Callithrix jacchus: one gene and its partner. The main gene of each other region encodes a partner of the protein of the gene in region 2 in a complex. Links are inferred from orthologs where the notes say so. Each region holds a gene or a part of one and is shown on either strand. Other genes may lie near its edges. The genes, in order: PDHB and PDHA1.

Region 1 (2,476 bases), on a different chromosome or scaffold from region 2:
TGAACTCCTACACTCAAGGAATCCACCTGCATCAGCCTCCCAAAGTGCTAAGATTATACATGTAAGCCACCGCACCAGCCAATTTTTTTTTTTTTTTTAAGATGGGAGTCTTGCTCCGTCGCCCAGGCTAAAGCACAGTGGTGTCATCTCAGCTCACTGCAAGCTTTGCCTCCGAAGTTCAAGCGATTCACCTGTCACAGCCTCCCAAGCAGCTGGGACTACAGGCGCATCCTACCATGCCCTGCTAATTTCTTGTATTTTTATTAGACACGGGGTTTCACCATGTTCGCCAGGATGGTCTCCATCTCCTGACCTCATGATCCACCCGCCTCAGCCTCCCAAAATGCTAGGACTATAGGCTTGAGCCACCACACCCGGCCAAGCTAATTCTTTTGGTATAAAAATAGAATTAGTCATGGCGTGATGGCTGGCTCATGCCTGTATCTCAGCACTTTGGGAGGCTGAGGCAGCTGGATTACCTGAGGTCAGGAGTTCAAGACCAGCCTGTCCAATATGGTGAAACCCCACTGTACTAAAAATACCAAAATTAGCTGGATGTGGTGGCTAATTTCCCACTTCTGAGGCTGAGGCAGGAGAATTGCTTAAACCTGGGAGGTGGAGGTTGCAGTGAGCCAAGATTGCATCACTGACTCCAGACCCTGTCTCAAAAACAAACAATTAGTCATAGTTAGGAATTCCTTTATTCCTTATCAAAACAAACTAACAGTAAAGTAGATTATATGCTTTAATTTTATACATATGGATATATCTTTCATCCGGACTCTGCCACATCCATACTTTGTCCTTAGAGTGAGAGAGAGTAAAACGTCATACAATTTTATTCAAAGAACATGGCAACTGTAACAGACAAAAGGAAGCATGGCCTCTAGGCCAGGAGAGTGGAGAGTTTTCCATACACAAACACATTTAAACCTCCCTGTACAAAAACACCTGCTGTTGCTTTAGAGATTGTTTTTCTTCATGAGTAGTAAAGTCTTGAATCCAGGTGCAATGCCAGCAAGTATTTCAAATAAACTTCAACGACTTGATATTCAAGTCCAAACTAAATATTTAATGTTTTCTTTATTGCAAATATGATGTCTTTGACCTGAGGTATAGAGTTGTCTTCCAGAATCTTTGCATAAGGCATAGGGACATCAGCACCAGTGACACGAACAGCAGGAGCATCCAGGAAATTGAATGCAGGACCTAGAAGAAGGAAGGCTCAACTGAGAGAGAGTAAATGCCAGCTGGGCACTACCACGTTGGCACAGAGGTGTGGCTGATCAGGAAGAGAAAACATAAGGAATCCTAATTATGGGGAACTGCTTTCTGGATTTGCTTTTAAAGTATTTACCTGAGGAGAAATGCCAAACTTGCAAGTTCAAAGTTCAAGTCATTTGGCCACCCCTAGCTTTCAATCTCTGTATCCTGTACATACATGTATCATGTATTCAGGTACACGATGTTTACTGTGCTTGACTATTCTAGAACCAGTTTCTTTGAAATACCTTCCATGATCCTGGCACAGATTTCAGCTCCTACTCCAAACTGTGGCCAGCCTCCTTCCACAGTTACAAGGTGATTTGTCTTCATGACACTGGCTTCTATGGTTTCCATGTCCATTGGTCTGATGGTACGCATATTTATCACCTAAACAGGTAATATAATCAACTTTACAGAGTGACCGCAGCACAAATAGAACCTTATCCCCATAATACCATTTCCTTTTTTGTTTCCTGTTAATCTTTGGATCTAGGAAAATCTAATCTGCCTGTGAATAGGTACATGAATGTATAAACTGTAAAAGGAAGAATTTTAATTAAAACGAAGATTTGTATGTCTACTACAAGCAGCTCTGTGCAGTTATAGGATTCATTTATCCTCCTTCACTTTATTTTTTTGAGACAGAGTTTTGCTCTTTTTGCCCAGGCTGGAGTGCAGTGGCGTTATCTTGGCTCACTGCCACCTCCACCTTCCGGGTTCAAGCCATTCTCTTGCCTCAGCCTCCCGAATAGCTGGGATTACAGGCATATACCACCACATCTGGCTAATTTTTGTGTTTTTAGTAAAGATGGGGTTTCACCATGTTGGCCAAGTTGGTCAAACTCCTCACCTCAGGTGATCCACCACACCCAGCCAATCCTCCTTCACTTTAAATTCCTTCATCAAAATGAGTAACAGTTAACATCTGAGTGCCTATTATGTACCAACCACTACACTAAGTATAATTCTCACAACTGCCCTATGACAGGACAGTATTTCTACTACAGTGTTTCTTCTGATGAAACAGATTTAGAGTATATAACTTGCCCAAGTATAAAAGTTCCAGAACCTCAGAAGGGTGAGGTGGGAGCACCACTTGAGCCCAGGAGTTCAGGGTTACAGTGAGCCATGATCCAGCTGCTACACTCCAGCCTGGGCAACAAAACAAAACCCTGTCTCTCTCTCTCTCTTGGGGTGTGTATCACTGAGA
Region 2 (3,823 bases):
TCCATGAGGGGATATAAATGCCCTGAATTTTAACTCCTGGCCAGAATCTGGCACAGAAATTACACTGCTGCTACAAACTCTCCTTCCAAATCCATCTCTCTGCTTATCCCACCCTCATTATTTTCGAAGAACCAGTAAATTAATACATAAATACTATGTTCTATTTTAACCAGTAAGCAGTAACATTTCTGCATTCAAGAGTTAAAATATAAAACTTGGCCAGGCACGGTCCCAGCACTTTGGGAGGCCAAGGCGGGTGGATCACGAGGTCAAGAGATCGAGACCATCCTGGCCAACATGGTGAAACCCCATTTGTACTAAAAATACAAAAATTAGCTGGGCATGGTGGCGCATGCCTGTAATCTCAGCTACTTGGGAAGCTGAGGCAGGAGAATCACTTGAGCCTGGGAGGCGGAGGTTGCGGTGAGCCAAGATCACACCACTGCACTCCAGCCTGGTGATAGAGCGAGACTCCTTTTAAAAAACAAAAACAAAAACAAAAACAAAAAAAACCCAGAAAACAAATAATAGAATCTCAGTATGTTAGAAAATAAAAAAAAGTCTGGATATAATTTTGTGCTGTTAATTCTTCATCATTCACTAACTGATGAGAACAAGGACTCCATAATGAAGTTGACAAGATAAACCAATGAATGTACTGAAATAGAAATAAGAAGGGGAAGGTATGGCTCCACTGCTAGAGGCTCCTGCTTACTTAGAAAACAGCAAACACCTCAAAGGAAACATTATAAATCACCATCCAAGTCTATTTCTCTCTCAGATGGTGGGCTATGAAGCACTAGATCTTTAAAGGCAAACCAAGCCCCCAAAATACAGTCATGCATTGCTTAAAAACAGGGATATAGTCAGAATTACATCACTAGGCGATTTTGTCGTGTGAACACCTTACTGTACTTGCACAAACCTAGATGGTACAGCCTACTGCACACCTAGGCTGCAACCCTGCACAGCATGACTGTACTGAATCCTGCGGGCAAAATATTTGTGTACCTAAACGTAGAAAAGGTAATCTGCTGTGCCACTACAACATCACTAGGTGACAGGAAGTTTTCAGCTCCATTAGACTCTCATGGACTACCATCGTATACGTGACACTGACCAAAGCGTCACTGAGCAGCACAAGGCTGTGCTACTTCAGGGAAAAGTTGTCTGGGGCTGGGAAAGTTTCTGACGACAAAAGCCAGGGCCAAATCTAAGGAAGCACACAACCCCCATCCTTGACTACCTGTGCTCCCACGATGCCATTACCCCCGTAGAAGTTCTTGGCATACATGTGCATCGATCCTCCTTTCCCTTTAGCACAACCTCCTTTTCGTCCTGGAAATGGCAGAACATACACATGTGCAACACAAACCAAATCTACGAAGCAAACCCAACCGCACCCCAAGTATGTACTCTGAGGCTCCACCATTAGAACTCAGAGGCCAATTCAGTGGTCTAAGTACCTGTCCCACCAGCCAAACACATGTTTCTCCTTGTCCTTCCACTGGTTCCATGTGCTTCAACCTTTCCAGCTTTTCCTACTCTCTAATCACCGAGTTACCTTTAGATGTTAGCAAAAGTCCAGATGGTGCGCTGGACTTGTTTTTCTGGCCAGTTACAATCATCTTAGGACCTCTCCTATACTGGTACACTAAATATATTCGGTCCTTGAACAGGGTTTGAGCTGCATCTGTACACTTATACACAGATTTTTTTTTTTAGCTGCACGTGGATCAAAAATACAATATTCTCAGGATGCAAACCTGAAGACATGGAAGGCTGACTTCCGGACTTGAGTATTTGAGGATTTTGGTATACTTGAAGGTCCTAGAACCAATCCCCTGGATATATGGAGGGACAACCATACTTAAATAGTCAAGGAGGGCTGGGCACAGGGGCCCACGCCTATAATCCCAGCACTTTGGGAGGCTGAAGTGGGTGGATCACCTGAGGTCGGGAATTTGAGACCAGCCTGGCCAACACAGTGAAACCTGGTCTCTACTAAAAATACAAAAATTAGCCAGGTGTGGTGGTGGGCACCTATAATCCCAGCTACTTGGGAGGCTGAGGGAGGAGAATCGCTTGAACCCAGGGGGTGGAGGTTGCAGTGAGCTGAGATCACACCACTTCACTCCAGCCTGGGTGAAAGAGCAAAACTGTCTCCAAAACAAACAAACAAACAAAAAGAGTCAAGGAGGGCTGGGTGCAGTGGCTCATGCCTTAATCCTAGCACTTTGGGAGGCGAAGCAGGCCACTGCACTCCAGCCTGGGAGACAGAGCAAGACTCTGTCTCAAAAACAATAAAACAGGTGGGGCACGGTGGCTCATACCTGTAATCCCAGCACTTTGGGGGGGCGAGGCGGGTAGATCACTTGAGGTCAGGAGTTCAAGACCAGCCTGGCCAACATGGTGAAACCCTGTCTTTACCAGAAATATAAAAATTAGCCAGGCGTGGTGGCATACAGCTGTAGTCCCAGCTACTTGGGAGACTGAGGCACGAGAATCACTTGAACCAGGGAGGCAGAGGTTGCAGTGAACCAAGATCACACCACTGCACTCCAGCCTGAGCAACAGAGTGAGACTCAGTCTCAAAAAAGAAACCAAAACGAAACAAAAAGGGGAATATGAAAATTTCTAGAATTTACATCGCATACCATGGAGTGCCTCAACCCAACTTACTTTCTATGATTGCTAAACTTCTGTTGGCATGCTTGAATGATAACCAAACCTACTGTGATTTCATAGCACTAATCTTTTTTAAACTTTTACCTGAGGGGCCAGAGGACTTCAAAAATGGTCATTTAACTCAGGAGCACAACGGAAGTAACAGAGCACCAAAGGCGAATTAAAAAAGAAACTTAAAACTTTTAACAAATATTAACTCATAACAGTCAGCATTGTAATGGAAAATATTTTAAAACCTCATCTACTCATATCCCCTTTCTGCAAATCAACAGCAAACCTGTTAGCTCTGCGAGAATTTCTCGGACAGAAAGGCCCCGGGTGAAGGTAAAGCCATGAGCCCGGTAGGCTGTGATGAGATGGTCTGTGGGGTTTATGCCGGCTTCCAGGCCCACACAGCAAGCTTCCTGGTTAGAGGAAGGAGAAACCATGAGGCCATACAATACGTGTTCTGAAGAAAAACATTTCCTAGACAGCAGTGAAATATTTGGGCTAGTAGAATTGTCATTAATGACCATACATGTGCCACTTCCTTTCTCCTGTATGACTTAAAAGAAAAATTCTACATCAGATGTCAACATTAAAACACTGGGGAATGTTACATGAAAATCCAGACTTCCGCCTTCTCTTGGAGTCGTGAAAAACAGGAAGCATGACCCATGACCTCCACACGGCGCCAATCGGCTGGAACCAAGTCATGGCGTTCCTCTGGGTAGGGAATGCCGGCCCCAGTTCAGCACGAGTCCCTGTCACCATTCTTTGTCATGTACACCTAGCCTTATTCACCGATTTATTCTACCTGGCTGGCCCTTGAAGGCATTTGATTCTATAACCCTTGACCTAAACCCACGAAACAAAAAACAAACAAACGAATCCTTTCTCCCCAAATTGTATAGAGTACAGGATGATCACAATGCCAGAGGTTTTACAACAGTAAAACCCTAAGAACAGGTATATACACTGGCAATGTTATGTGTGAATGAATGGTTTATAGCCTAAGCTTCATAGTGGGTTTTGGCGTTCTACCTTTCATTCTAAGATACTGGCTTCAGCCAGGCACAGTGGCTCACCCCTATAATCCCTGCACATTGGGAGGCTAAGGTGGGCAGACTGGTTGAGTCCAGGAGTTTAAGACCAG

What was found.
Region 1: the proteins of PDHA1 (region 2) and PDHB are in contact, whole or in part, in a crystal structure (PDB 3EXE), measured with the Homo sapiens proteins. The link is inferred for Callithrix jacchus from reciprocal best matches to the Homo sapiens genes PDHA1 and PDHB. Residues at the interface, in NP_000275.1 of Homo sapiens: Ile87, Arg88, Gly89, Phe90, Glu137, Leu138, Thr139, Gly140, Gly148, Lys149, Gly150, Gly151, Met153, His154, Asn164, Gly165, Ile166, Val167, Gly197, Ala198, Asn200, Gln201, Gln203, Gly228, Met229, Gly230, Thr231, Arg235, Ala236, Asp296; in NP_000916.2 of Homo sapiens: Glu59, Gln62, Tyr63, Ala66, Asp84, Pro86, Ile87, Ser88, Glu89, Met111, Phe115, Gln118, Ala152, Gly153, Val154, Ala155, Ala156, Gln157, His158, Pro297, Val323, Arg324, Val325, Thr326, Gly327, Ala328, Asp329, Val330, Met332, Pro333.

What each region holds. Positions count from the first base shown.
Region 1 is NC_133516.1:40,220,205-40,222,680, forward strand, and holds the end of PDHB (pyruvate dehydrogenase E1 component subunit beta, mitochondrial), read right to left. Parts: intron 1,654-2,476; coding exon 1,512-1,653; intron 1,210-1,511; coding exon 1,064-1,209; 3' UTR 683-1,063; downstream 1-682. UniProt on the Homo sapiens protein: The pyruvate dehydrogenase complex catalyzes the overall conversion of pyruvate to acetyl-CoA and CO(2), and thereby links the glycolytic pathway to the tricarboxylic cycle.
Region 2 is NC_133524.1:19,824,051-19,827,873, reverse strand, and holds part of PDHA1 (pyruvate dehydrogenase E1 component subunit alpha, somatic form, mitochondrial), read right to left. Parts: intron 3,093-3,823; coding exon 2,966-3,092; intron 1,339-2,965; coding exon 1,247-1,338; intron 1-1,246. UniProt on the Homo sapiens protein: The pyruvate dehydrogenase complex catalyzes the overall conversion of pyruvate to acetyl-CoA and CO(2), and thereby links the glycolytic pathway to the tricarboxylic cycle.